Linked DNA regions of Oryctolagus cuniculus. The protein of the gene in region 2 purifies or fractionates together with the protein of the main gene of each other region. This does not show direct contact. Links are inferred from orthologs where the notes say so. Each region holds a gene or a part of one and is shown on either strand. Other genes may lie near its edges.

What was found.
Region 1: the proteins of KPNA1 (region 2) and ADNP purify together in Homo sapiens (co-immunoprecipitation; 3 studies listed by BioGRID and IntAct, with this or other methods). This does not show direct contact. The link is inferred for Oryctolagus cuniculus from reciprocal best matches to the Homo sapiens genes KPNA1 and ADNP.
Region 3: the proteins of KPNA1 (region 2) and PHAX purify together in Homo sapiens (co-immunoprecipitation; 4 studies listed by BioGRID and IntAct, with this or other methods). This does not show direct contact. The link is inferred for Oryctolagus cuniculus from reciprocal best matches to the Homo sapiens genes KPNA1 and PHAX.
Region 4: the proteins of KPNA1 (region 2) and TCERG1 purify together in Homo sapiens (co-immunoprecipitation; 3 studies listed by BioGRID and IntAct, with this or other methods). This does not show direct contact. The link is inferred for Oryctolagus cuniculus from reciprocal best matches to the Homo sapiens genes KPNA1 and TCERG1.
Region 5: the proteins of KPNA1 (region 2) and RBM45 purify together in Homo sapiens (co-immunoprecipitation; 3 studies listed by BioGRID and IntAct, with this or other methods). This does not show direct contact. The link is inferred for Oryctolagus cuniculus from reciprocal best matches to the Homo sapiens genes KPNA1 and RBM45.
Region 6: the proteins of KPNA1 (region 2) and ALKBH5 purify together in Homo sapiens (co-immunoprecipitation; 3 studies listed by BioGRID and IntAct, with this or other methods). This does not show direct contact. The link is inferred for Oryctolagus cuniculus from reciprocal best matches to the Homo sapiens genes KPNA1 and ALKBH5.
Region 7: the proteins of KPNA1 (region 2) and MTA3 purify together in Homo sapiens (affinity purification with mass spectrometry; 3 studies listed by BioGRID and IntAct, with this or other methods). This does not show direct contact. The link is inferred for Oryctolagus cuniculus from reciprocal best matches to the Homo sapiens genes KPNA1 and MTA3.

The regions. Positions count from the first base shown.
Region 1 is NC_091442.1:10,026,920-10,030,959, reverse strand, and holds the start of ADNP (activity-dependent neuroprotector homeobox protein), read right to left. Parts: upstream 2,801-4,040; 5' UTR 2,795-2,800; coding exon of another isoform or gene 2,680-2,794; exon of another isoform or gene 2,647-2,679; intron 1,795-2,646; exon of another isoform or gene 1,678-1,794; coding exon of another isoform or gene 1,573-1,677; exon of another isoform or gene 495-1,572; coding exon of another isoform or gene 417-494; exon of another isoform or gene 244-416; intron 1-243. Other genes in the region: DPM1 (dolichol-phosphate mannosyltransferase subunit 1), read right to left, coding at 1,573-1,677, 2,680-2,794.
Region 2 is NC_091435.1:78,713,303-78,717,412, reverse strand, and holds the start of KPNA1 (importin subunit alpha-5), read left to right. Parts: upstream 1-1,310; 5' UTR 1,311-1,506; intron 1,507-4,110. UniProt on the Homo sapiens protein: Functions in nuclear protein import as an adapter protein for nuclear receptor KPNB1. Binds specifically and directly to substrates containing either a simple or bipartite NLS motif.
Region 3 is NC_091437.1:15,871,549-15,875,793, forward strand, and holds the start of PHAX (phosphorylated adapter RNA export protein), read left to right. Parts: upstream 1-1,445; 5' UTR 1,446-1,508; coding exon 1,509-1,604; intron 1,605-3,488; coding exon 3,489-4,102; intron 4,103-4,245. UniProt on the Homo sapiens protein: A phosphoprotein adapter involved in the XPO1-mediated U snRNA export from the nucleus.
Region 4 is NC_091437.1:33,946,969-33,951,095, reverse strand, and holds the start of TCERG1 (transcription elongation regulator 1), read right to left. Parts: upstream 2,801-4,127; 5' UTR 2,722-2,800; coding exon 2,663-2,721; intron 2,067-2,662; exon of another isoform or gene 1,934-2,066; intron 289-1,933; exon of another isoform or gene 137-288; intron 1-136. UniProt on the Homo sapiens protein: Transcription factor that binds RNA polymerase II and inhibits the elongation of transcripts from target promoters. Regulates transcription elongation in a TATA box-dependent manner.
Region 5 is NC_091434.1:63,008,724-63,012,931, reverse strand, and holds the start of RBM45 (RNA-binding protein 45), read left to right. Parts: upstream 1-1,408; 5' UTR 1,409-1,574; coding exon 1,575-1,874; intron 1,875-4,208. UniProt on the Homo sapiens protein: RNA-binding protein with binding specificity for poly(C). May play an important role in neural development.
Region 6 is NC_091448.1:62,322,479-62,326,749, reverse strand, and holds the start of ALKBH5 (RNA demethylase ALKBH5), read left to right. Parts: upstream 1-1,471; 5' UTR 1,472-2,254; coding exon 2,255-3,027; intron 3,028-4,271.
Region 7 is NC_091433.1:160,050,243-160,054,207, reverse strand, and holds the start of MTA3 (metastasis-associated protein MTA3), read left to right. Parts: upstream 1-1,165; 5' UTR 1,166-3,064; coding exon 3,065-3,092; intron 3,093-3,595; exon of another isoform or gene 3,596-3,756; intron 3,757-3,786; exon of another isoform or gene 3,787-3,805; intron 3,806-3,965. UniProt on the Homo sapiens protein: Acts as a component of the histone deacetylase NuRD complex which participates in the remodeling of chromatin.

The DNA.
Region 1 (4,040 bases), on a different chromosome or scaffold from region 2:
CCACCCAAAGGCATCTAGATAGTCCAGGTTCCTTCCTAAGTGGTTTCCCAGCGGTGCGAGAGCGTCCCTGCTGGCACGCACTCCGCACTCGCACGCCCACAGAGTCTGTGACGAGGGCAGTCGCTCGTCTAGGGAGGCGGGAGAGCGCCCCGAGGGTCTCGGGGTTATCTCATTTCTGCTCCATATACTGGACACTAAACACTTAACTTTGGGTTTAGGGTAAAGAAAATATATCCCAGACACTTGAGGATATCACACTTCTATTATTACAACTCAAAACCACGTTTACAAGCACTAATTAATTTTCCAGTTGCTACTGATGAGGAAAAGTCACTACCCCAGGCTCCCTGGTGGGCCAGCTGAACAGCTCTGGGCAAAAGGGAATACAACAGTGGTGGCTCTTACTGGAATGTGTATTACAGGTTCAACGATGAAGACGAAGAGGATTTATGTTCAAAATGGTGCCAAAGCATTTGTAAGTCTAGTATTCGTTTCTGGTAGGGTCAGAGAGAAACACAAATGAAAACGGAAGGCCTTCAGGAAAATGTAGTTATTAGGATCCCTGTTCACTAAATATGACAAATAGCTGAGACATTTATTTACAAAGAAAAGTCCACTTGACCTCAAGCATACTGTCATTACTCATTTCATAGACACTACAGGAGCCAAAAGCTATGCTACGATTTCTGTGGTTCAATACCTGCTTTAGAGAAGCTTGGTAAGTGGGATTTTCGCCCTGGCCTTACTGAGCAACTTACCCAGCAGTTTAACTGACAGGAGATATGAGCTACTGGGAAGATTCTGTCATATTAGTAAGGATACAGGAGCTCGGTGGAGGGTCTTGAAATAGCATGAAAACAAATGTTTTCAGTAAAATGTGTAAAAATCGCTGTAACTGCTACGTTTATGCCTGTTACCAGTACTTCCTTATTGATAGAGGTTATGCTCAACAGAGAAGACAGACACTGTGCAGTTAACTGCTGCCCCGCTTCCTTCCAACTCCCAGTCCACACGCTGCACACTTCACTGGCAGACGGCTCCCCATTCAGCAGCTAGAAAGAACCCAACTCAACAGTGTGCTCCAAGTGTCCTCTTTAATCTGCTGTGAGAAGCTGGAGACATTATTTTAAGGAAAGGCTAGATGTCTGTATTTTTTAATTCATACAGAAATCATGAATGTTCTTAACCTATATCTTCTGGTACAATCTAGGTATAAAGAACTACGACTCCAGGTTATATAGGGAATATTTCACTTTCTCATGTAAGAAATTCTGGATTCATATGCTCTAATGAAGTCAATATTTTATGCAAAAAAAATCCATATACATTTATTCATAGGTCTTAATACAGCAAAACATAAATCAAAGTGGAGAACATTGCCCATTCAACCAGTAAATTTGAAATTGTTTAATTTTTAGTATAAAATGGAGCTTTTCCACAAAATGTATCTGCATGGGATTCACCTTCCCTTCTGCTTCATGCTCTAAGAGTACATTTACAGACAGCAGTAATCAGGCTGCTCTCTTGCTTACATTCACATGAACATGGTAAGCACAAAGGAGCAACCGTCTTTTATGTAGTAGCGAAAAGAGTCAATAATCCTTTCAAGAATGAGACTATTTCATTTCCTCCCAACTTGGATTCACCATAAACACGATCCACAAATGATATTGGAACCTAGTTGAGAAAACAGTACAGTCAGTCTTCAAGACACCAGACAGGACGTCCAGAGCTGCAGGCCGCCGTGACTCACACAACAGACCAAGGCTGAGTCCTGCAGTCCTGGGTTCTCAGGTAAGGTCAGGAGTGGAGACCTGGGAGCTCTGCAGCTCCGGTCTTTACACAGGGCCAGCTGTGAGGCAGCAGGTTTCAGGGAACTATCCTATTGCCAAGTAAAGCCACGTGCATGGAGTCTGGTGCAGCCGTCAAGGCCCTGCTCGGGACACCCCGGCCAGGGCCAGTCCCAGCAACGCTTGGGATTGCAGCTTCCTGCTAATGTGCATCCTGGGCAGGAGCAGGAAACGGCTCAGGCGCTCAGGTCTCTGCCACCCCCTGGGAAACCCAGGCTTCGGCTTGGCCAGCCCTCGCTGTTTTGGGCATTTTGGGAAGTGAACCAGAGGATAGGAGATCTTCTGTCTCCATTTCCCTGCCTTTCAAATTAAGTACAAATTTAAAACTGTAAAATGACCCTCCTCTTTTAGCCATTGCTGTGACTTAGCAGTAAGTTAAAAAATCCTGTAACTTCTACAAGAGAACTAGCATTTTAGGGACGCTGTTTTCTTGTTTTAAGTTTTCGTCTTAAATGAAGTCTTTGCAGAAAGCTCACTAGCCAGTCCTGACTACTGTGAATGTCCCAGCACCTCGCGCCAGGCTTCTGGCCACTTTGGTCTATTCACAGGGAACGGCCGCAGTGGCCTCAGTGTGCAGTTCAGGGCCTCAGGCTGATGAGGGAGGGCGGCAGATTCAGCCCGTGACGCTGACCACAAGGTAGCACCGGGGCGCAGGAGGTGCCAGCTACTTTCCATCATTTGAAAGGAAAGTTCCTTCTACTTAAATCTTGGTAGGCTCTATTAACTTCATAGCTATGGAGGTTACTTTTTTTTTAAATAAGAAATCTAAACCTTACTGTTGCTTTCTCTTATTCAGAATGTGGCATGTTACTTGGTGCCAGCTGCGTACCTCAGCAATGGTGTAATTCAGCTGCCGGGCCCGAACAATCATCTCCATCTGGAAGACGTAGCCTTTAGAAACGCACTTTTCTATCAACTTTTGTAGAACTTCTTTTCGATATAATCTGTAAGAAACCAGAAAATAGTAAACACCTATATAAACACACTCATTTGTGTACACGGGTCCTGCACTTTCAAACAAAGGTTCACTGGTATGTATAAAGCCTCAAACTTTCACTAGCCATTGGAATGCAGAAATGTTCAGACAGTTGACGACTGTGATACATTTGTCTTGAACAAGGCCATGAAATATTTCCTAAATATTTTGGAGTAATTTTGAAAATGAACTCTCAGTATCTTTTAGAGAATCATATTCCTGTTACACAATCATAAATTGTGATAAAATGAATCTGATAAAGGACCTCCCATTAATTTTTTTTATTGCCTTAAACTATGTTTCAAGTTGAAAGAGGAGACACTGTTCTAACTATTGAACAGCCAAGCTGACAGATGACGGTGGAGCAGCAGTGCGCCACAGACAGGCCGGAGCTCAGGAGCAGGCATTCCCCAATCAACATGTGCGCCCGAGTTCTATTTCCCAACACTTCCTCAGGAAACTCCCTGGAGTAGACGAAGTCTCTCTAGGATGAATCTGTTTAGAGCCTCAGTGGGTAGGAAGGCAGTAATTTATACTATTTTTTATTTAATTTTTAACTAAAACCAGGAGGAGCGGTTTAGTATAACTTTGTTCTGTTCGAGGGTAAGGCCACTCAGAGCTACAAAGCCCAAGGGTCGTCTCTGAACTCATAGTTTCCCCTAAGCTTCCTCCAAGGCTCCTCTACCTTTTCAAGAGGCTTTTGAGTGGGCATCAGACAACAGCACAGCCCTTAGAAGAACCTGAGCGAGCTTAATGTACACACTCCTTTATCTATACAGATTCTGCAAGGATTCTTTTAAGAAATTTGGAAAAACTATTGAAAGTTGAGAACATAACATTAGCAATATTTACTCAAACAACAAGTATTCAGCCAGCAGTATATTGGAGTAAACTAAAAACCGAGTAAAGACGTAACACACCAAATGATGTTAAGTGCAGAGGGAGGATTGGGATTTGGGTGGGAAAGACAGTAACGGTACAGTATCTTGGTACTGCCTTCAAAATTGGGATTAGGCTATGAATTCTTTGAAGAGTCATCTTATACCAAGACATTAATTTCTCCTCACTGCCAACTCTCTCTCTTCTGCTCTCCCACAGTATCTTTAAAAGTAAGTAAAATCGTAAGTGTGAAGCAAATGATTCCTTAAATAGAATTAGGACCCAGGTATTCTTTGCTGTTAAATGGCTGTTATGCCAGACTGCATCTCCTCAGT
Region 2 (4,110 bases):
AACCTGGGTGCAAAATCAAACATGCTAATGCGCTGAAGAGCTGCTAAAGCAGTGAGGATTTCTGGATGCAAGATGTGGAACGAGAGGAGAGCTAGGAGAGGCGAGTCTGACATTTGCCCTCACTTTTCCAAACCTGAGGTGATTGCTGATTCTAAAAACAGTGGCTGAAAAAGTGAGCAGAGCTTTCGGCTGTCTCATGGAGCTGAGAAGGCTCTGTCAAAGAGGAGGAGCCCTGATAAACACTCAAGACTTTCGGTCGGGGTGCTCTAGGACTATGTATGTCTTGGCTATGAGTAAGGGTGAACAGTCACAAAGACGGAGGTTCTGCTTTCAACAACCACCCTCAGCTCCTGATTGGGATAAGGTGAGCTGTCCTCAGCCCGGCTGCCGTCATGCATACTTGTCTCTAGCTCTGTCCCATAGACCACCCCCTCCCCAGCCACCTGGCTCAAACTCAGCCCTGGTCCTAGTAAACACACCATTGCTGGGGGAATGCTGAGGCAGCAGAGACAGATCCAGGACAACTGAGCATTGCATAACTGAGCTTCCAATTAGTGCAGTCCCCTCTCTCCCCACCCTACACCGGGAAATGTATTAATCCACCCCAGCTCTTCCACCTGGCTCCTCAGTGTGTGTTTGAAACTGGTTTGGCAAACTAGGACCTCAGTGAGACTTTTCTGTTCTGTGACCTCTGCTTGACTGGCTGCAGTCTTACTCTTCCACACACACACTCCACCCCCCGCCACAAGCCACTAATCCATTTGCTTCCTCCAAAGAAGAATTTCATCAAATTTAACAGTGAGAGTCATTTGCCCCACAATTTCCGTTTGACAGCGCTTATTGAGAATAAAGCAAGTCATTTCTTCATGATTTTTGACGTCATGCATATATTTTCAGGCAAACAGGATGGGAGAGAACTGAAGAAGGAATACCTAGAAGTTTCCTGCAAACACGCCACAAGGTAACTCTTTAAGCCCTGAGGCGCTGACAACACTTCATTCATTCCATCAGTCATTCAAGAAACACGGACTGAAATTGATACCTGCCTAGTTAGAGGGTAGACGGAGATGAGTGAGGATCGATCCGTCCTAGAAGAGATCAGTAAAGACAGGTTTGCGGACATCACTTTCTCCAACCTTTCCCAGGCTGCAAGCCTGCTCCTAGAAGCCCTCTCCTCTACCGGGAATTCCTCACCCGTTGGGCGCCAACCACTGGGGACTGCCGGTGGGCGACCGTTTGGAGACTACAACTCCCGGCAGCCACTGCAGCGGGTGGTGGAGGAGCTTGCGCAGGCGCGCGGGCCGGCCCCCGCACGCAGGCGCACTGCGAACGCCGGCTGAGCTGGGTCTCGCTGCTCGGTGCGCGGCGGCGGAGAGCGAGGCCTGGTGGGCACCGCCGAAGCGCGGACCGGCTGCTCGAGGTTGTGCGCGTGAGAGAGGCACGGCGCGCGGGCGAGCGAGTGAGCGCTTCAGCTTAGTGGCACCGGGACCGGTTGCCTAGAGCCTGGTGAGTTGGGGGCCCTGCGGCTGCGGCCCCTCCCCCTCCCGCCGGCGGATCCGGGCTGTCCTCGGCTGGACGCGGGAGAGGCCCCGGGGGCGAGGTTAGGCGCCGGCCGTGGGCTCCAGCCCGGGTGCCTGCGCCCAAACCCTTGCGGCGCGTCCGTGCGTCACGGGCCCGGCTTTCTAACGGCCGCGCGGCCGGCGGAGGGCCGAGTGGGGGTGGGGAGCGCTGGTGCGATCGCCATCGGGAACGCCGGTCGAGGCGGGGCAGCGCGGCGGTAGCGGCGGCGGCGGCGGCGGGGCTGGAAGCGGCGCCGGGGACTGCGGGACGCCGAGGCGGCGGGGCGGCGTGAGGCGAGTGCGCAGCCTGCGCCGCCGCCTGGCGCGGACGGGCGGGCGGGCCGCGGGTGGGCGCGAGCGCGGAGCGCGATGACAGGCAGGACGGGGCAGAGATGCGTGTGAAAGCCTTCCGCGGGGCCGGGCGGGCTCCGTGTGCGGAGTTCCCAAGTTGGAGCCCGGACCCGGGCCGGGGCGGGGCCGGGGCCGGCGACTGCAGTTTCCCGGTGTCACCGCGGCAGGGCCGGGCCGGCTCGGCGGCCGGGGGTGTGGTAATTATAGGAATGACAGAACTCGGGCTGCGCGGCGCGTGCGAGCGGGGAGCCCGGCACTGGCGGCGGGGTCGGGCGGAGAGTGCTTCAAGTTACTTGAAAGTTTCAAAATAGTCGTCTCTGATTTTTAAGGTCTAAATTCAACAGTCGCGAAATGTTTTCGTTCCAGAGCCTGCTAGTTATTAGGTAGCTTTTCCGTTCGTGTTTCGTAAACGGCCCCTTCAAAATCTTGACTATGTAAGGGAGGCAGATAACGCGATTTTTCCATCCCTGTTGCTGCTTCAAGCCTCATTCTTGACATTATTTTCTTAACTTTTTTTTTTGCATTTCTAATATTTTGGAAGTACTCCACAAGTTATTGTCCCACCCCCCTTATAGATTTTGAAGAGATGAAAATTTGATTTTTCAAAGGAAAGTGAGGATGAGCGCTATTGGACTTTTACTGAAATAATTTATTCTTGACACTGTTTTGTGTATGATTTTAGGATGGAGGGCGTGAGAAAGTAAAGGAGTTGATATTTATTGAACTCCTTTCTGTGTAATGTACACAATTCTTAACATTTTTATAAAGATTTTTGTGTATGGATTTGAAAGAGCTGCGGGAGGGTGCGGGGGCGAGAGAGATCTTCCATCCACACACACTGCAATGGCCAGGGCTGGGCCAGGCTGAAGCTTGGAGCCAGGATCTTCCTGGCCTCCCACGTGGGTGCTGGAGCCCAAGCACTTGGGCCATCCTACACTGCTTTTCTAGGCCATTGGCAGAGAACTGGATGGGAGGTGGAGCAGCCGGGTCCCCAAGGCAGCCAAGGCAGTGACTTTACCAGCACCACAAGGCCCACCCCATAGTAAATTTTGAGTAGCTGTTAAATTTTTTTGCTTTACAGATGAAAAGGCATTGAAGGTCAGAGAAGTTAAGTAACTTGTTTAAGAGGCAGCACTCATTGGGACTAACCTTAGAACCCAAAGTCACTGCCATTTTAAGAATTGGTTCTCTCCTTTCATAACTTCTGAGTTGTGTTTTTCGATTTAATCCATTCATTCTGTGGAGCGATTTATGTGACTGACACTAAAGATGTAGTAATGATCATGACACACTTATCTCTGACTTCATGAAATTGATAGAGTAGCAGAGAAGGCTAACAAGTAACTAATGCAGGTATTGACTACATGGCATTTTATCAGTCATTAAAATTGAGCAGATTTGTAAACCACTAAATAGCAAAGGAAGTTCAAATGGAAGCAGACAAAATAAGCCTTGAGGAAAATTAGCCTGTAGGAAAACAAAGCATACATTTAGAGAAACTTAGAGTAAACTAAATGACAGAAATAAACACATCGCCTGAAGTCAGTACGACATTGTGTTATTTTCTAAAGTGGTCCTCATAGCGTTTTTTCACAGAAGCATGATTTAATATTCCGTTCTTTGACTTTATCTAGAGTTAATATGTGAATGCTTCCAAAGATTTCATGAAAAGATGGAATTAAAAGATTGATTTTACAAAAAGAGTTTGAGGGGTGAGCATTGTGGCACATCAGGTTAAGCTGCTCCTTGGAACACCTGCATCTCATGTTGGAGTGCTGGTTTGAGTATCCGCTGCCATGTTTCCTGATAGTGCATCTTGGGAAGCGGTGGATGGTAGCTGAAGTGTTGAGATCTTTCACCATTGTAGGAGACCAGGATGGAGTTCCTGGTTCTTGGCTTCAGCCTGGCCTAGCCCTGGCAGTTGGCGGAGTGAACCAGTGTGTGGAAGATCTCTCTGTTTCTTCCTCTCTCTGTCACTCTGCCTTTCAAGTAGATGAAGGTGAATAACTAAACATTAAATTTCTTTGAAATACATTCATAGTTTTTTCTTTGATAAGCACTTTCCATGGGCATTTTGAAGATCCCTCCCAAAAGGGACCATGAAAAAAAATACCACCATCCAAGACACTTTCTTATTTATTGTTCTCTATAAAATACAAACCTTAGAGACATTCTTCTTAAGACCCCGGTACTCGCTAGA
Region 3 (4,245 bases), on a different chromosome or scaffold from region 2:
GAGAACTGCTCCTTGACAATGTGTGATGCCTGGGGCCGGCACTGTCACACAGTGGGTTAAATCGCTGCCCAATGCCAGACCCCTCACGGGCACCACTTCCAATCGAGCTCCCTGCTAATCCGCTGGGGAAGGCAGCAGAAGATGGCCCAAGTGCTTGGGCTCTTGCCACTCATCTGGTAGACCCGTAAGAAGCTCCTGGCTCCTGGCTTCCTGGCCTGGACCCGCCCCAGCCACTGCAGCCATTTGGAGAGTGAGCCAGTGGATGGAAGACCTCTTTGTCTCTCCCTTCTTCCATCCCTCTGCCTCCGTAAAATGAACACACACATAAATATTTTTTAAAAAAAAGAAGAAAGAAAGAAAAGAAAAAAAAAGGGCCAGCATTGTGGTGCACCAGGTTAGAAATTTAAAAAGGAATTGCAAAGAATCTGGAATAGCTAAGATATTTTTTCCAAAAAAACCCGTATAACTTTAACATTATTTTAAATCTACAGTAATCAAGCATCACATTGGTTGGTGTAAAACAGGCATAAAGATCAGCGGAGCAGAATAGAGAGCACAGGAAATTCAAAGAGGAAAAAGTAGTCTTTTCAACAAACAGTGGTCTACTAATTGGACAGTTACACATACACACACACGCACACAAATCCAGATTCTTGACTCTTATTGCAAGCCGTATATAGTAATTAACTCAAAACAGACCACAGACCCAAAAACGTGAAAACTTCGAGAGAAAACACAGGAGAGCATCTTCGTTGCGGGGCGCTGTTGTGTGCATTATAGGATGCTGAGGTGCAACCCTGGCCTGGCCCCCCGTGTCAGCATCACCCCCAACGCACAGCAACTGAAAAGATCTCCAGACGACGCCAGACGTCCCCTGCAGAAGGAAACAGCCCCAGGTTGAAAAGCACTGGGCTATTCTGTGCCCCTGGGACACAAAACGCACACAAGGAAACCACCCATAAAGGAGACTTTGCATCATGGCTCCTCAAAGGACACTGATCAGATGTGAGAGCGAGCCACAGACACGGAGGGAGCAGGGTACAACTCCAATCAGATCAGATGTTCAACAAGGGGTCTCCAGAGCAGGGATGCCATGCTTATAATTCAGTGAAAAGGGAAAAATTCCGACGTTCAACACGAAGGACACACGCACATGCCAAACAGCGGGTAGAAGATACTCAGCAGCACCGCTCACCAGGGAGGTGCGGCGGTGCGCGGGCACCCGGGCCTCGAGGGGCGACGCCTCCTTCCGGGTGCACCTGCCCGGGGCAGCCGCACCCGGGCCTCGAGGGGCGACGCCTCCTTCCGGGTGCACCTGCCCGGGGCAGCCAGGCCACGCCGGGACCCCCGGGCCGCCGCCCCCGCACACACGGCGAGGACGGGCTCGCAGGCGGGAGCCCCGCGCCCCGGCCTTCACGCCAGCTGCCGCGCCGCCGGCTCCCGCGCGGGGGCGCCCGAGCGGCCGCCGCGCCGCCGGAAGTGCTCTCCCGAGCGCGCGCCGCGGGAAGATGGCGCTGGACGCGGGCGACATGGAAGATGGGCAGCTCTCCGACTCGGACTCCGACATGATGGTCGCGCCCAGCGACAGGCCGCTGCCAGTGCCGGTGAGTGCGGAGGGCGGCCGGGGGGCGCGCGGAGCCCGGGCCGCCAGCCTGGAGGCGGGCGTGCAGCGGCGGCGACTCCGCCTGCCAGGCCGCTGGTCGTGGTGTAAAAACCCAGCGGCGTCCCCGGCCTGGCGTCGCTCCGTTGTCCCGGAAGGGCCGAGACCCGGGGCCGTCGGCCTGGAGCAGCCCGCGCTGCTCATCCGGGCCCCGCGGGGTGAGGGGACCGTGGCCCGCAGAGCCCGCCCGCCCGCCCGGCTTTGTCTTGCGGGGCCGCCGGGGTCCCCCGCCGTCCGGCCCGCCTGCGTCCCCCGGGCGTCGCGCCGCGGACGCGGTGGTCGTGCGGGGCGGGGGCGCGGCCCGCACGCAGCGACTCGGCCGACGTCGCCCTAGACGCGGGGACGGACTCCTGCGGGACTCGGCCGCCGCCGGCCCGGCTGCTGGCGCTCGCGGGAGCCCGGCGCACGCGGAGTTCGTGTCGAGTCCCGGGTGCCGAGGGAGCGTGAGTTCTGGAGCTCCGTGCATTGTGTGCTTCCAAGCAGCTGGAGACGGGGTGTGCGGTGTTTCACCGCGCACAGAAGTTTGAGGTGCTGGATCTGCTCAGAGCTCTGATTCGCAGCTCACTCGGTGTAGACTACACTGCAGAACCCCACCTTGGACGCCAGGGGGTTGTGAAGTTGTTATGTGGCGGTAGTTATTTTTTTTTTTTTTAAAGCACAGGTGACTCCTTTTGCATATAAATGCCCTGGGAGTTAATTCCGACACAATTTGTTCTCAGTGGTTTTACCTAAATTGCTCCGTGACTTGGTAAACTGGCGTCATGAACTCTGCAGTTTTAGGATTGTTAGGGGGACAAGGTACTGGGTAAACTCCCTGCCTGCCACGCGGGCATCCTGTATTGGCGTCAGTTTGAGTCCTGCCTGCTCCACTTCGGATCCAGCTCCCTGCTAAGGCACCTGGGAAAACAGCAGAAGACGGCCCAGGTGCTTGAGCCCTGCACGTATGTGGGAGACCCGGATGAAGCTCCTGCTTGGAAGATCTCTCTCAATACGTCTGGCTTTCAATAAATAAATCTTAAAAAAAAAAAAAAAAGTGATATCACGGGTTCCTCCCGGTAGGAGTTTGCCTTCTAATCCAAAGGGAAACAATCATTGAACCTTATGGAGGAAGTTGGTGTGTGTACAGCAAGGCGGGTATCTGTGGAAAGAAAGAAAACAGTTCTAACTGCCAGTAGCAAATTGCGTGTGACATTCCCAGGCATTCTGACAATAATGGAAAAGACGAAATCTTCTGAAAGTGAGAACTGAGAGCTCTGCTAATTTCTTAAGAGACCTTAGAATTAAATGCTGCATTAGCTGTAGAAATAAGAATGCGTAGCCTTTTTTCTTCCAAGATTCATTTATTTATTTAAAAAGCAGAGAGACACATCTTTGATCTACTGGTTCACTCCTCAAATGCCCCCAATAACCAGGGTGGGGCCAGGCTGATGGCAGGAGCCCAGAATCCCACCCAGGTCACCCACATGGGTAGGAGGGGCCCGAGGACTTCGGCCATCTTCTGCTGTCCTTCCAGTATATTAGCGGGGACCTGGATCAGAAGTGGAGCAGCCAAGACTCAAAGTAGGCACTCAGATACGGGATGTGAGGTGTCCAAGATAACAGCTTAATCATTGCACTTCACAACGCCCATGCCAGGTTTTTTAGCTTTATATTTGGCAAATTCCATAAGCATTGGTTTCAGAGATGTTTTTGAAGACAATTTTGTTCTAGAATAGTCCAGTTGAGTCTCTCTCTCCCTCGCTCTTTATTTTTTTAAGCAGCACATGGCGGGTGGAATACATGGCGGAATGTGTTTTGTGGAACTGACCGTGTCTCCTCTTGCTTGCAGAAAGTTCTAGTAGGGGGCAGTGCCGCGAGGGGCTTGCAGAGTCCCACAGCAGCGGGTGCACCCGCGTCACATTACCGGACTGTTAAAAGTGTGGATTCAAGTGAAGAGAGCTTTTCTGATTCAGATGATGAGAGCTCTCTTTGGAAGCGCAAGCGACAGAAGTGTTTGAGCCTGCCTCCCAAGCCAGAGCCCTTCCAGTTTGACCAGAGTAGTCAGAAGCCCCCCGCCGCCGGAGGAAAGAAGGTTAACAACATCTGGGGCGCCGTGCTGCAGGAGCAGAACCAGGACGCCGTGGCCACTGAACTGGGCATCTTGGGAATGGAGGGCACGATTGACAGAAGCAGGCAGTCAGAGACCTACAATTACCTGCTGGCTAAGAAACTCAGGAGGGAATCTCAGGAGCACGCAAAAGATGTAGACAAGGAGCTAGACGACTACATGCATGGTGGCACAAAGGGGGGGTCGAAGGACGAGGAAAACGGGCAAGGGCATCTCAAGCGGAAGCGGCCCGTCAGAGACAGAGTGGGAGCCAGGCTGGAGATGAACTACAAAGGCCGGTACGAGATCACGGAGGAGGATTCTCAGGAGAAGGTGGCCGATGAAATCGCTTACAGGTGAGCAGCTAACTCGGGCCTACCAATGCACGCTCGACCCAGCTCTGTTCTGTTGTTGGAAACTCAGTGTGCATTCATGATGGCAAACGCATTAGCAATGTTGCCTTGAATTTTAATTACTTGGTTATTTTGCTTAAAGAACT
Region 4 (4,127 bases), on a different chromosome or scaffold from region 2:
ATAGCACAGAAAAACAATTTGCTTAAGACAGTTGGTCAATAGTTAACAGCAGGGTATTCTTACTCTCATTTCTACAGGCAAGAAAATCTAGACTGCAAGTACTTCACGTCCTAAGTATTAATAGGAAAACACATACCCTAAGGATCCATGTAAATATGACTCTACTGGGTGGGCCTCTGCTGGACCAATGAAGCTGGCAGCTGGAACATCGCATTCCAAATCCGAGTGCCTGGGTCCAGGTTCAGTTCCAGGTTCTGCTCCCCATTCCAGCTTCCTATTAGTGTACACCTTGGGAGGCAGTGATAATGGCTCAAGTAGTGGAGACATGAATCAAGTTGTGAACCACTGGATGGGAACTTGTATGTGTTAGATAAACATGACTTTGAAAGTTACTTTAATGGCCCTCAACCATAAAGGGACAGATGGCATTTGGATCTCTGAATTTCCATCTATTGTACTTCCTGCTGCTTTAAAACCTTTTTGGGAAGCAAAAGACTATCTATGAGACTAGAAACAAACAAACAAAAATTCACAAGAACACCATGGAAATACAAACATTTTTCTAGGAGTGCTCTATATAGATAGGCAATCTCAATGGTGAAAACTAGACTGCAAACACTTTAACTGGAGGGGCAAGATGTACATGGGAGGCAAATTACAATAATTGAGTAAGGAGACCTAAGTTTCAGTCTAAACCCTGGCCACTACCCATCGACTTTGGATAAGTCATTTCAAACTTGCACATTGGGTTTTTCATTTCATGTGGTTGGTTTAGTTCAGAATCTGGATCAGTCTCAATTAGAATGGAAACAAAGGGGAGAGCAAAGGCCTCTCATGATTTGGTTCAGGATCTACTGCCAGCATCCAGGTCTGTAACTGCCTCATGAACACAGGCCAGCAAGGGTACCACCTCTAAGTCTCCTGTCTTCATTTATTTATCTATAGATTATTCTGTCTGCCACTGTGATAGACACAGCCACGAAATACATCCAGGATAGATTTTTATAAAGACTGAGTCCAAACTTCTGCCAGCACAGAACACATGAACAGCTAATTTCTCATAAATCATGATAAATGCTAAAACAAAGGTCTATCCACACGCTCTGCAACTTCCAACCCAAGAGGCTAAACTACCTGCAACAGCACACCTAATCTAATGCCCTACCTAAATCAGTTTTGCAATATCTAGTTTACAAATAGTCTAAAAGGCTATGACTGTACAGCTGAAAACACTCCATGAAACATAAAACAATGTTACCTAATCAATCCATCTGAGACTAGCCAAGCAGTAATCTTCTGAGATCAGCATCAAGAACAAGCTCCACCATTAACACTGGAAGATACCCACTACCCACTTTGTTCACTCATTAACCACTGTGCATATGGGGCTGATGGGCTTAAGAACTACCTCTGAAATAAGTACTGCCAAAGTAGAAATTTCTGTGCCTAACATTGCAGAATCTGAAAGACATTATCTTCTCCTAAAACTCTAACAATAAGCTCTGGACAGTATTAGACTCGTCATCATCTCCACTGCGTTTTTCAATTTTAAACGCTGACAACGGCACAATTCAGAATGTCAGCTGAACATCTGAAATGACATTTCTCCCATCGGGGCGGGGGTGGGGGGGTGGGGAGAAAGTACACTAGATATACATCAAGCACAGGACCTCTTTCCCATCCCCTCAAAAACCGGCTTGTTGCTTGTTTTTTATCCTGGTCACATTTTTCTTATCAAACTCTAACGACAAACTCCGCAGGCACTGAATTCCCGAGGAAGGAAGGTCACTGCGCTCCTTTTTTAGAGCACGGGTGGGGGGGGGGGGGGGTGGAGGAGAAGAACAGAATTACCCGAAATTGCACGTCCATAGCCTGCCTGCCGCGGCTTAACCTGCTCCACCCAAGCGGTCTTAACCCCGCACTCAAACCCCTACGAGGCTCGGTTTCCTCATCCGTAAGCCGCGCGAGCAACTTGGCCGAAGGGCCCTCGGCGCTGGGGCCTACAGAGCCGGAGCACCAATTCCTGCAGCGGGTGGGCTCGGGCAGGAGAGGAGAGACAGCCCCAAGTAAGCGCCTCACCCCCCGCTGCCGCTTTTGTTATTCACAGCTCCGGGATACGGAGGGATAGAGAGAGACCGAGGGAGACAAGCCACAGGAAGTTAAGAAAGGCAAGTGGGTGGGGGTGGGGGACGAGATCAAACAGCAAACGTGGACGGCCCGGAGGGCGTGGAGAAGGCTGAGCCAGAGACGGGAGAGGCCCCTGGGAGTTAACCGCACCGCCTAGGGACGTCGATGGGGAGAAGCGGGCCGCGGCCGAGCCGAGCCGGGAAGGCAGGCGGAGGGCGGCAGAGGCCCAGGCGGCACGCGGCTGAGGTGGGGCTCCAAGCCGGGAGCGCCCGGCCCGGCCTGCAGGCCGCGACGGACAACTGGGCCCCGCGGAAGCCGCAGGGAGCACCCCGAGACCGCGCAGAAGGCCGCGCGGCACGGCCCCGGCCCGGCTCTCATTCAAGCCACCTTCCCTTCCCCCTTCTCTAACCCCATGCGGTTCTGGCCCCAACCCGCCCCGTCCTTGCTGCCCACCGTCCGCTCCGGATCTCCACGAGCAGGCCTAGCCACTGGGAGTCCAGCGCGCCGAGATGTGCGAGAGGGCAGCGCCCCTTACCTCAGCTCCCCCGGGTTGAATCGCTCACCGTCCCCCCCGTCCCCGCCACGCTCCGCCATTACAGAGGGCCGCGTTCATCCACCCGCCGACCCGACGCCACCTATTGGCCGGAAGGATCGTCAATCCCGTGCGAGAGAGGCGGAGATAGCGGAAGTCTATGAGATGATTGGTGAAGCTTTCTATCCATCCTCCAGGTGGAGGCGGTATCTGCTTTACTATTGGACAAAGGACCCGCCGACTTTGAAAGCGGTATGGAGACAGCCAGAGGATTGGTCGCTCGGAGGCTTTATGGGAAATGAGACTTTAGCAAAGAGGAACCACCGGCGCCCTCTCGCGGTAAGCGAAACTAGGTCCTCCCACGTTTCGCCCAGCGTGAAGTAGCCACGTGTCTGCCGGCTTCCAGGAGACCCAATTGTGGAGCCATATTGGCCACTAGTAGCTCAGGCCGAAAGCATTTCCACGGGGTGAGCCAATCAAAAAAGACCTGGATCGCGCCTAAACCAATCATAGAGTTGAGGCGGAAGGAGTTTTCGCTATTTGACTTATTGGAGTCTTAAGTCAGCACTCGGCTGTGTATCCAGTTTATGAAATAATATCTGGTGATTACAAGAAGACCTCCTAAAATTGTACTAATTAGTTGCATCTGATGGGTGTTCTGAGTTGCTTTATTGAAAAAGTAAATTGGAGAAGCCAGCCTCTTAGCAGTACACAGCCTTAGCGTCCTCCTTCAATCTCAAAATGCAGTTATCTGAAATTGGCACACCCTGCTACCCAAAAAGAACTCTAAATATTTCTTTTATTCTTCGATTAAAGGGGAAAAGACGGCTGAGGCTCTGGAGTTGCAAAGACAAGATGAAAGCAAACCTATTAATAAAGAGCTCAAAGCATTAATAAATTTTACTCAGACTTAACAGTGTATACCAGTACTTTCCATACAATTAAAAAAATAAAACCACCACCACCATGGGACCAGCGTTGTGACACAGCAGGTTAAGCTGCCACCTGCAGCGCCAGCATCCCATGTTAGAGTGCCTGTTGAAGTCCAGGCTGTTCTATTTCCCATCCAGTTTTCTGGAAAGCAGAGGATGATGGTCCAATGCCCTCCCCCCACCACGTGGGAGACCCAGATGGATTTCTGAGTGCCTGGCTTTGACCTGTGGCCATTTTGGGAGTGAACCAGAGAATGGAAGATGTCTCTGTCTGTCTCTCCCTCTTTCCCCTTCAAATAAAAAAAATTTTTAATGAATTTTTAATTTTTTTAGTTACATTTCCTTTTTATTTTTCAGTTTTTAACAGATTAAATGTAGCTTCAAGATACAGTTCTAAGAATGTTTAAAAAAAACACACAACAAAACAAGAAGTGAGTCATATGCATAGCCAGTTAATATATAAGAATGAGGCAGAAAAGTAACTTGCCCCAAATCCCACAGCTAGTAAGTAGCAAGCGTGGCCTTAACCAGAAGGC
Region 5 (4,208 bases), on a different chromosome or scaffold from region 2:
TTTCTTTTTTTTTTTTTTTTTTTTTTAAGATTTTATTTATTTATTTGAAAGAGTAACGCAGAGAGAGGAGAGGCAGAGAGAGAGAGAGAGAGAGAGAGAGAGAGGTCTTCCATCCAATGGTACACTCCCCAATTGACTGCAACAGCCAGAGCTGCGCAGATCCGAAGCCAGGAGCCAGGAGCCAGGAGCTTCCTCCAGGTCTCCCACTCGGGTGCAGGGGCCCAAGGACTTGGGCCATCTTCTACTGCTTTCCCAGGCCATAGCAGAGAGCTGGATTAGAAGTGGAGCAGCTGGGTCTCGAACTGTCGCCTACAGGGGATGCTGCTGCTTCAGGCCAGGGCGTTAACCCTCTGTGCCACAGTGCCAGCCCCTCCCAGTCCACTTTCAAGTCCTTTTACTTAATTTCAGTGTCACTGCTAACTGCAGATGTTACTTCTGGGTTTCTGGTGGCTCTCTGCTGACCTCTCCTTTACCACCTGTTTACATGAAGACTTAGAAGTCAGAAGGAACTTCCCACTTTTCTTGCACCCTAAGTTTCTCCTAATTCCACATCTCTCTCCCCTTGAACCCCAGGGGTGCTTGATGGAGTTGAGGTGATCAATAGATCAAGTTGGTTCTGGTTTGGGCTCTGTTACTTGTATCTCTGTTACTTTGAGATATGCTATGGGCCCTGGTTTCTTTGTCACTAACAAACGAGGCTGGGATTGGGTAAACTCAAAGGTTCCTTTCAGCTCGAAGGTTCTACAATTTTATCTCTACCCTATAGTGACCTCCTATTGAACTTATGGCCAAGATGGTTATGGAGTCTCTCCTTTGTCCAAAACCTGGGTTCCCCAGAGTCCTCTGCTCAACCAGGACCAACCCTGGGCTCTAAGCCTTTGTGGAATACAGTTGGGGCAAAATCCTGCTAAATGAGTTTAGTGAAAATCCCCTCTCTTGGTGTCTAACCACCATCAGTATTTTTTCACCCTGGCTTGCATTGAGTGAGAATTCTGTTAAACCAGTCTAGCAAGAATCCCCCTTGCTCCTGTTCTTTCCTCTTAGCAATTTTCCATTCACTAACCTCCACCCTGCTCCTTGGTTATAAATCCCAACTTGTCCTTACGCTCTCGTTAGAGTCAGAACTGAGTCCAATCTCTCGCCTGCCGCATCACAGTCCATTTAAATAAAGCCTGCCTTACCATCTTTAATAAGTGTCATAAATGGTTCTTTAACATTAGCAAGTTTGGGCAACGAGTCGTTCGGTTTGGGGTGGGGTAAAGCCAGCGTAGAGAAAGTCTGTGCACCAGGCAGGGTTGTTGTGGCCGCAGGGAACAAGGACATCTGGGCCAGGGCTCAGAGGGATTGGAGACTTGGGCCGAGTGCGGGTCCTCCGCGGCGCCAGGTGGCGCTCCAGGCCCCGGAAGCCGGCGCCGTGCGCGGCTGGACAGCGCCTGACGCCGGACTCCGGCTTCCGGAAGCGGAGCGCCGAACCCGCAACGGCAGGTTGAACAGCAGCGGCCGTGGCGGGCGCGGCAGCAGCAGAGACTACTGAGGGGGACCCCGGCCTGGCTCCCGCGCCAGGGGGGAGCACGATGGACGAAGCCGGCAGCTCCGCGAGCGGCGGAGGCTTCCGCCCGGGCGTGGACAGCCTGGACGAGCCGCCCAACAGCCGCATCTTCTTGGTGATCAGCAAGTACACTCCCGAGTCGGTGCTGAGGGAGCGCTTCTCGCCTTTTGGCGAGATACAGGACATCTGGGTGGTGCGGGACAAGCACACCAAGGAGTCCAAGGGCATTGCCTTCGTCAAGTTCGCCCGCAGCTCGCAGGCCTGCAGGGCCATGGAGGAGATGCACGGCCAGTGCCTGGGCCCCAACGACAGCAAGCCCATCAAGGTGCGGGCGCTCGGGTCTGGGTGGCCGCGGGGGCACAGTCGGGGAGGATGGCGCCGTCGGGCCTCCCTTCGCCTGGTGCTGTGCCAGGGCGGGAGAGGGCAGGGCGCCCGCTCCCGGAGCCCGTCAGGCAGCACTCGACACCGACTGGGAAGCGGGCTTCTAGAAAGAGGATCCCGTCCCCAGAGCCTGCGCCGGGGGCCGGGCGGGCGGCCGTGACGGCTCGGGAGGGGCAGTGGCCTGGCCTCCCCACTCCCAGCGGTCACTGGTTCCCCTGGACCGCTCTGGGAACCTGGCCGAGGCCCTCGGGGGTACGGCGTCTGAAGTCACTCTGTGGGGCTTAAACGCTTGGCAAAAGTGCGGATGTTTAAACCGTGGCCGTCTGTGTTGGGCGTTTTCCCAGGACAGACAGAAGTGTGCATGTGTGCGATATTAAATGCAGATGGTTAAAATGCTACGATCCGGCTTTCATCACACTTTAGTGATTTTAACAATTGTTCCAAATAAGCCCTGTTTGTGAGGATGTGAACACGGTGCATTCGATTCTTGACTGTTATTCCCACTTTGCTTCTAAAGCGGATTGAAGTCAACTGCCTTGAGCAGAGCCAGATCGCTGTGGTGGTCTCTTGGGCTTTGCATTATTATGCTGATTGTGTTAGTATATGGTGGCATTTATATGAAGTGTCTACACGTAGTACTGTGTAAAACTAAGGTAATAGCGCATGGCAGGAATGGTAATTTCAAGAAGTATTTGACTTAATTCAACCTTTTAGTACAGTGCTGCGAACAAGGTAACCCTCAATTGTATTTTTACAACTATTCTGTAGTAGTCAGGATGTCCCCACACTGAAACTTTCTTCTTTAGCCACCAAAACCTAAAATGCTCATTCTCAAAGAGAATTAAGGCTTCAAATCTGTTTTCCACATTTTTGCCCACTGAGTTTCAGCCAGGATGTTATTCTGTGCTACCGACTCAGACCATCCGGCTTGGGCAGGCTGTCTTCCTTCTCCTTTCCTTCCTTCCATTTGGCTTCAATTTTTCTCAAGTTAACGTTGCTTTTGCAAAGTTCCAGAGAATCTGCAAGTCAAGAATATTGCAGCACCAGGCATACGACCAGAAAACATTTTACAGTTAAGGCATATTCTATGTCAGGCTCTGTTGTCCTGAAGGTATAGGTCAACTTGGAAAACAGAAAAGAAAAATCTTTGTTTTGGCTTTGAACGAATGTCTCTTATCTAGAACCAAAGAGTGTGTATCATCCACGAAGGTAAAAATCTGTTAGGAGAAATCTTCCTTTAGGAGCTTGATTATTCTGCATGTGTTTTACATCGGTACTGTCTCATCAAAGATCAGAAACACTGAGCTCATGGCTCCTCCAGCCTCATCTTACCTGGGGCTCTTTTTTCCTTCTGTGTCTCTGCATGTGCTTGAAGCTGCCCTTTTTGTGTTTCCCCGTTGACCATTCATTACTGAAACATCACTACATTCAGTCTCTAAGGGCGCTTCTGGGTTCTCAATAAAACTTCCTTCAAAGCTTGGCATATAAGCATGTGGTGTGGCTTTACTGAAGGAGTGACTGGAAGTAGGTTATAGGTAGAGCTGTATCTCCAACTTCATCTTCTACAAAAGAATTTACATCTCTGTGACAGGCTGTTTTCCAAACAAACAACTGTTTTGTTTTTTTTTTTCCCACATGGCTCCAGTGTTCTTGTTTCAACATTTATAAAATCCCATGGCTTTAAAATTTTATGTCCTTTTGATTGCTATGTCCTACTCCAGAATTTCTTAAGTCCAAGTTAACTCATACTTGAATGACATATAGCCCCTCCTTCTTAAATTTTAAAGAAAAATTTTAAAAAAGCTTCAAGTTGGCCGATGCCACGGCTCACTAGGCTAATCCTCCGCCTTGCGGTGCTGGCACACCGGGTTCTAGTCCCAGTCGGGGCGCCAGATTCTGTCCCGGTTGCCCCTCTTCCAGGCCAGCTCTCTGCTGTGGCCAGGGATGTGGGCAGTGGAGGATGGCCCAAGTGCTTGGGCCCTGCACCCCATGGGAGACCAGGAGAAGCACCTGGCTCCTGCCATCGTATCAGCACGGTGCGCCGGTTGCAGCGCGCCGGCCGTGGCGGCCATTGGAGGGTGAACCAACGACAAAGGAAGACCTTTCTCTCTGTCTCTCTCTCTCACTGTCCACTCTGTCAAAAAAATAAATTAAAAAAAAAGGCTTCAAGATCCTGTGGGTGTACAATGGTTTAATTTTATTACACTATTTATATTATAAAAAAGTGAAGTTATCCATTAAACTTCTCATGTTTATAGCTGTGTAATAAATGCACAGT
Region 6 (4,271 bases), on a different chromosome or scaffold from region 2:
AGCTGGCTTGGAAGCGGAGGTGGGACTTGATCCCAAGCATTCGATGTAGGATACAGGCGTCCCAAGCAGTGGCTTAACCCACTGGACCACAACGCTTGCCTCTAGACGTACATTTGTGTAAAAGCTCATTTTATTCAACTTCTTACAGTGTGCCCGGCTCTGTACATAAAAAAAAAAAAAAATCAATTGCATACTCAAAACACGCCCAGTGAGGTGAGTGCTATTACCACCACTGTACATAGGGCCCAGAGAGGTAGAACAACTTGCCCAAGGCCACACAGCCAGCACAGGGGTCCAATGACGATTCAACCCCAGGCAGCTTGGCTCGGGAACTCGCGCTGTCCCCCAAAAAAGACGAGGAGGAAACAAGTGATTCTCATCTCGGCCTGGATGAGCTGAGCTGTGTCCACAGGTGGCTCCGAGAAGGCCTGCTCTTCATAGAAGACGGGGCAGCATAGCGGTTAGAAGGTACTGGAATCCTGCAGGGCCAGAGGCAGGCCACATGGCCCCGCCCACTGGCCTCGTCCTCACTGCCCGCGGCCGCCTCCCCACACCTGCACCCCACTGGGCTACACCAGGAAAGGGCAGGGGCCCGATGGACTGTAGGTGACTCGGTTCTCCCCGGCTCAGGCTTGCTGCGCCAGGTGGCCAGCGTGGAAGCAGCGGCCAGGGTCCCAGGTGTCTGGGGTTTCACGACCTCACGCCGCCTTCTGCTCAGCCTGGTCATGGCCAAGAATCCACTTTTCCAACACAACAGACTCAGGCGCCTCTCAGTGTACAGACGGGGGGCGGGGGGCTGAGGCCCGACTCAGCAAGCCCCGTGCCTACCACGCGGGAGCAAGGGCTTGCACGAGGCCCCTGAGCGCCAAGCACAGCGGCCGACCCTCGCCCCCCAGCCCCGGCCTGGGGAGGGGCTGCGGCTGGAGCCGCGGGGCGCACCTGCGGCTCGCCCTCAGCCGCGCACACGGGGGCTGCACCCGGGAGACGCCGCCCCGCACCCCCGGCCCGGCGCGCCCCCGCCGCCGCGCACGCGCCCGCCGCCGCCGGGACGTGACTCGCGGAACGTCCACCCCGGGCAGCGGCGGCCGAGGCGGCGCTGGGCGTTTTCCCCCCACGAAGACGCGTGTCCCAGCTTCTTTGGCAGTCGCCATCTAGGCTCGGGGCCAGCAGGGCCTGGCGCTCTCGGCCATACGTTCTGAGCAAAGTTTCCGTTGCTTTTAGAAGTTTTCTGAGGCGTCCCGAGGACTTTCCTCAGGCGTGGGGGGGCGGGGTGGTGGTGGTTTCCGTTTCAGGCACTTAGGTAGCCACCCATCCGCTCTTCAGGGGTCCTCGCTTCCCTCCCCGCCGCTTGTTCAGCGATGGGCGCGGTAGCCAAGGAGATGGCCTGATTGACAGGCATGGCTACCAACCGGCCTCTGGAAACTCCAGTCCAGGCCCGCCCCGCGCGTGGCTGGCGGCCCAATGAAAGAAGCGGAAAGGCCAAAAGGGGCGGTCCCAGGACGGCCTAGGTTGTGGCGGTTCCCCGGTGATTGCGCGCCGGGGGCTGAGGCGCCTCCAAGGCATTCGGACGATGCCGTGACGCGGCAGGGCGACAGTGTTGACACCATCAGCAAACCCCTGCAGCGGGAGCTCTCCCCGTCTCGGAGGCGGCGTGGCGTGGAGGCAAGGTTGCTATTCGAAAGCGCTCCCTCAGCGCCCCCCTCAGCGCGTGGGGGAGGGGCGGCGGACGACGAACGGGGAGGGCCCGCGTCTGCGCCTGCGCGGGCCCCATCGGCCGGCCCGGCCCGCACGCACGCGCATGCTCATAGCGCGCGGAGCCGCGGTGGCCGGCGCCACTGCGCCTGCGCACCGAGGAGCCCGCTAAGGAGCGGCGCTGGCGGACGTCGGGCGAGCGGCCCGTGACGTCGTGAGGAGCGCTTTAAAGTGCGGGCCGGGCGGGGCGTCTGAGGGTCTTGGGGGGGAGTCGAGCGGCCGTTCGCGGCATGAGGCGCTGCCGGCGCCCCTGCCCCCCGGGACGCGGAGAAGGTGGTGGAGGAGGAAGCGCCGTGGCCGCCGCAGCCGCTGCATGACCCGCCGCCCCTGAGGCCCGACCCCGCTCTCGGCGCCCTCCGGTCACGCATGGAGGCCCCTCGCTGAGGACCCCACCCCCCTTTCCCTCCGGGGGTCCCGGGCCGCGTCCCCACCCCTACCCCTGAGAGCCATGCCCGGCCGCCCCGCCCTTCCCGGAGGCCCCTAGAGTCGCGTCTTGGGGGCCATGGCGGCCGCCAGCGGCTACACGGACCTGCGTGAGAAGCTCAAGTCCATGACGTCCCGGGACAACTACAAGGCGGGCAGCCGGGAGGCCGCGGCCGCGGCCGCCGCCGCCGCTGTGGCCGCCGCCGCCGCCGCGGCCGCCGCCGCCGAGCCGTACCCGGCGCCCGGGGCCAAGCGCAAATACCCGGAGGACTCGGACCCGGAGCGCAGCGACTACGAGGAGCAGCAGCTGCAGAGGGAGGAGGAGGCGCGCAAGGTCAAGAGCGGCATCCGGCAGATGCGCCTGTTCAGCCAGGACGAGTGCGCCAAGATCGAGGCCCGCATCGACGAGGTGGTGTCCCGCGCCGAGAAGGGCCTGTACAACGAGCACACGGTGGACCGGGCCCCGCTGCGCAACAAGTACTTCTTCGGCGAGGGCTACACGTACGGCGCGCAGCTGCAGAAGCGCGGGCCCGGCCAGGAGCGCCTGTACCCCCCGGGCGACGTGGACGAGATCCCGGAGTGGGTGCACCAGCTGGTGATCCAGAAGCTGGTGGAGCACCGCGTCATCCCCGAGGGCTTCGTCAACAGCGCCGTCATCAACGACTACCAGCCCGGCGGCTGCATCGTGTCGCACGTGGACCCCATCCACATCTTCGAGCGCCCCATCGTGTCCGTGTCTTTCTTCAGCGACTCGGCGCTCTGCTTCGGCTGCAAGTTCCAGTTCAAGCCCATCCGGGTGTCGGAACCCGTGCTCTCGCTGCCTGTGCGCAGAGGGAGCGTGACTGTGCTCAGGTAACCCGGGAGGAGGGGGCCCGCCCGCACCCCTCGCCTTAGCCACCGACCCCGCTGGCGGCCAATAGGAGCCCTGCTTGCCTTTTTTTTTTTTTTTTCCTCCTTTTGCAGGTCCAGCTGTGTGTGTGTGTGGCTCCCGGGGTGGAGGGGCAGGGGCTGGGGCCTTACACAGGAGCAGGGTCAGGAGCCCGTGTGTGGATCGGTCCCCAGAACAGCCTGGCTGAGACTTTTCAGGCGTCTTCCTAGAAAGCTGTTAGCGGGCCGTGTCCCTTTGTGATCGGAAACAAGTCACTTTTCTTCTGTTCTGGGCTTCCATGTCCAAATCTGAGCTTTTAAAAAGGAAAAAAAAAAAAGTTGGGTTTAGGATCCGAAAGTCTTTTCCTGCTCCGCCGCTCCTGGTGTCCGTAACAGCGAGCGTTAGTGGATGCCTTAGCAGAGGAAATACTCAGGGGCAAAGGCTCCTGAGTGTCTAATTGGTACCTGTTCTCCACTCCCTGGAGGGCGAGCGGCTTCCCTGGAGCTGAAGGGATTAGGGGTCGGGCCGGGGGCGGAGAACCTGCTACCTGTTAGCAGGATCAGAAGAAAACAAACGGCAGCTGGCCGCCGGGCCGTGTTGGGTCTGGTCGTTACGGGGCAGCCGAGCCCGGGCTCCGGGCCTTGTTTGCAGTCCCAGTCCCGCTGAGGACTAGCTCGGGGCCACGGCCCCCAGAGTAGACCGCCTGCGGAAGCCCCTTCGCTGTGGATGAACTGTGAAAGGGTGATTGGCAGCTGTCTCCTCCGAGCCCTGAGCCCCGCGAAAGGCAGCGTCATCTGCAGAACCTCTTAGGAGGCAGGTAGAGCCAGACTGCAGCTGGGGCGAGTGCCTGGTTGCCCACGGCCAAGTAAACAGAGGATCAGGCGCGCTGGGGTTTGGCCTCGAGCCGCTTAACCCCCGAAGCGCGGGTCCCTGGAGCCCTGTTAGCATCATGAGGGCAGGTCCTCCATCTGGTGGGAGGCGAGCACCTGAGGCTGCTTCCCTGATGGGCTTACCTGCCGTGCCTCCTTGTCCTGTGGGCCCCTGAGCTTCTCAGACCGGTGCAGTCTAGGCGGCCCGGGCAGACCGTCCCAGAGGAGGGCAGGTTGGGGTCTGACTGTGGACCGGCTCTCACTGCTAAGGGAACTTCACGCAAGCCAGGGACCGGCGGGTCTCCAGCTGCTCGTCTGCCTGCAGAGCTGTCCCCAGGTCCTGCTGCGGCGTTAGTGCA
Region 7 (3,965 bases), on a different chromosome or scaffold from region 2:
AGCTTAACCCGCTGTGCCACAATGCCAGGCCCTTATCTATAGCTTTTACACAGCATCCATTTCTTTTCAGCTAACTGGTGAGATTCTGGAGTCCAACACAGGGAATGTCCTGGGGTTTCAGATAATCCCTTCTATAAACAACTTCTTCTTCCTCTTCCTCCTCCTCTTCCACTTCCTCTTCCTCCTCCTCCTCTTCTTCTTTTTTTAAGATTTATTTATTTACTTGAGAGGCAGAGGCAGAGGGAGAGAGGTCTTCCATCTGCTGGTTCACTTTCACTCCCCAGATGGCTGCAATGGCCGGAGCTGAGCCAGGGACTTCTTCCCCATCTCCCATGTGGGTACAGGGACCCAAGGACTTAGCAGGCCATAGCAGAGAGCTGGATCGGAAGTGGAGCAGCCAGGACTTGAACTCGCACCCCTATGGGATGTTGGCACTGAAGTTGGCCGCTTTACCTGCTATACCACAGCACTAGTCCCCCTCCCCTCCCCCTCCCCTCCCCCCCTCCCCCTCCCCCCTCCCCCCTCTCCTTCCCCTCCCTACCTCCCCCCTCCCCTTTCCCCTCTCCCTCTTCTTCCCCTCTTCTCCTCCTCCCCTTCCTTCTTTTTAAAGACCCGGAGCTTCTTCTGGGTCTCCCACACTGGTGCAGGGGCCAAAATTCTACTGCTTTCCCAGACCATAGCAGAGAGCTGGATTGGAAGTAGAGCAGCTGGGTTTTGAACTGGCGCCCATATGGGATGCTGGCACTTCAGGCTAGGGCGTTAACCCGCTGCGCCCCAGCGCCGGCCCCCTGGCATTTTTTCTTTCAGATATTGAGAACCTAGAATGTAGAGGACACTGTGTAGGAGCTGGAGGAGTGGGAGACACTAAGAACAACAGAATCTGGAGGAAGGAAAGAGTTCCAGGTCCAGCCGCCATTTCCCCAGTCCCCCTGCCCCCCAACCTCACCCCACAGATCTCTGAGGCCTTTCATGGGGGGCTTCTGGATAAATTGTTCCTAAGGGGAGGAGGTGGGTGTGGATGTAGGGAGTTTTCTTGGCACCTTTCACCGGTTTGTTGTTGTTGTTACAGTCATCACAAACACCTGGCAAGGAGCACCGAGCTAGGGAAGTGAGACTGGCAGACAAGGAACCAGCAAAAACACAGACATGGGCATGAAGGCGGAAAAATCACTCATTTATTAAAAACATAACGTGAAGACACCCTAAAGCTTGTGGTCTGTGTCTTTGCAATTTATGGTTTCCAGGTGACTTTTTCCCTGGGAGAAAGGCTTTATGGTCCAGAGCTTCCTAGGTCGGCAGAAGCGGCTGAATTACAATCTCGATCACGCTGCCAGTTCACTGTATGACTCCAGGTGAATTATTCCACTTATTTGTGTCAGCTCAGAAACGGAGAGAGTGATGTCGGATATGTCACAATATATTTTTGGTGGTATCTCCAGTAAAAGGATTATGATAAACAACAGCCACGCCATGTGCATAGCAGAATACTTTTGCTTTCTTTGCTGGGTCACAAGAGCTGACAGGGCTCACAGTTGACACATGGCATAAAACCCCTGGGAATCTGAGGCTTTCTGGGGTTAAAAAGAAAGCGGAAGACACCTGCTATTTGCTTGGTGCTTTCTGCTCCGGTTTACAAAGCATTTTCAGATAGCATCACAACGGATCCTTACCACCTGTGAGGTGGAGTTAGTGTCCCCATTTCATAAAAGAGGAAACAGGTCACGGAGTCAACCAATGTAAGGCAGGCAAAGTTGTTCATTGTTGTATTATTCTCACTTTGCTTCAGCTGTCCAGATAATTATTTTTTCACTTCAACATCTTTTGATTAGGGGCCACGGCACAAGATAAGGCAAACACAGACTTTTCTGGGAACACCTCCTCTTCCAGCATAGGCCTCAAAGTCACAGTCAACAGCCACACAGCTGTACATCACCAGACACTCCCAACAACCCGCAACCATCAGGGATCATTGTTGTGTTTATTCTGCAACAAAGTCTGGGAGTAGTAGATTGGCTTGCCTAAAAAAAAGTATTTGTGTTCACTTGGGGGATGGCCAGCTAAGACTCAACTTTATCTTTTTGTTCCGAGGGTGCCAAGGATTTGAAAACAAGTTGTCCAGAGAATTAGCATGAGAAAATGACCATTTAAAAGGTTCAGGCACAGAACTAGTTAACTGTCCATCATCAACAACCTGACAGTCTGACAGTCTCTCCTCCTGGGAGGTGGTGTGGGGAACTGTAGGGCCCTTGGACGAAGGGCGCCGCTAAGTCTTTTTTTTTTTTTTTGCAATGGGGCCTAGTTACAGACAGGGTCTCAGGGTGTCCGGGAGTGGGTTCTGTTCAGCCTAGTTCTGGGGTGAATGATGACGTCCCCGCCATCGCAGTTAGGGCGCACTTGGACGGCAGCCAGTTTTTCCAGTCCTGGCCCAGCTGGGTCTCTGACTGGGAACGCCTGGGGTCTGTAACAACCTTCCCAGAGGAAGGTGCCCTGCTGCCTGCACTTATTTGTATCCAAGACTTTGCAGCGAAGCTTGCACTGGTGCTGCCTTGCTTAGGGTCGCACATGCTGGGGCTCCCCGGGGACAGAGCAGGGAAGGAGAACCTGTCTAGCGGTGGGCAGGTGACGGGTTACTCAGGGTGGGGCAGGAAGCGCTCCAGGGAGGCTCAGCCTCTGTTCCCACCCCAATCTCCAAGGGCCCCCAGCCCGCAGTTGCCAGTGCAGGCTTCTGCGTCGGCCAGGACTGGGGCCCTGGGGTCCTCCACTCGCAAGGCCCCTCAGCCTCCCTCCCTGTCCCCCGGTGCCCGCAACCCGCAGCGCTGGGGCCTCCCGGGGCCTCCCCCAGCGCGGCCCACTCGGTTTCGCTCGCCCTGCGCTGGGGGCGGACGCCAGCCCCCAGCCCTCGGCGTCCCCTCCCCTTCACTTCCCCCTCCCCCGTCCTCTCCCTTCCCCTCCCCCCCGTGGCGAGGCGGCGAGGAGGCGGCGGCGGCGGCGGCGGTCGAGGCTGAGGCGGCGGCGGCGGCGGCGGGCGGGGCTCGGCTTGGGCTCCGCGGGCGGGCGGGCGGACATGGCGGCCAACATGTACCGGGTCGGAGGTAGGAAGGCTCGGCCCGACCCGGCCCGTCTTGGGGGCGGGCTGCGGGAGTTGGGGGGTCGCGGCGAGCGCAAGCTAACCGCCGAGAGTCCTGGGCGCCCGGGCTGAGGGCGCAGGGAGGGGGGCACCGGGGCCCTCAGAGGGGCCGGGCTCCCCACCCCCACCCCTCCTCCTCCCCCCACGGTGGCCCGCAAGGGGCCGGGGACCAGCAGCACCCCCATACCCTGTCCAGGTTTTTAGGAACAGGCCTCTACTGGGGGCATGAATTACCAGGCGCCCCCCTCCATGGAACCCACATGGGGGCAGGGCCCGTCGAGCCCCCTGACTGGGTGGCCTTTTCCTCGCGTGGCTTCTGGGTATTGGGGGCCGGGGAGGATGGGGGGACATCTTCCTCCTCCTCTCCTTCCCCTGCCCTTCAGTCGGAGAGTGGGGTGGGGGTGGGGGCGAGGGGGCCCAGCCAGGGTCCCCGCTGGACAGGCCTGTTGGCGGGGCCGGTTCCTGCACCTCGCCTTCAAAGCCTCCCCTTGCGTTTCTTGTCCGGCCCCCCAAGATTGGGGTCTAGCAGGGGCCAGGAACCGCAGCCAGAGGTGGGGAGTTGAGCTCTGCCCGGACGTTTGCTCTCCTGTCTGCCTCCTTCCCAGCCTTCTGCGGAAGAGAGAAATAAGGTCAAACAAACTTTCTCCCTACTCACGACGCCCTCCTCCCTCTTTCCTGGTAAAATAATAATTCAGATAAGTGGCGTGTTTGTGTGTGAGACGAGCTCTTCTCTGCTCGTTAGCCGAGCTCCTGATGGATGGTGGTGGGAATGGCTTGGCTAAATGAGGCCACTTTGCAGAAGAGAGAGCCGCTAAGATAGACAATAACAACGCAGTCC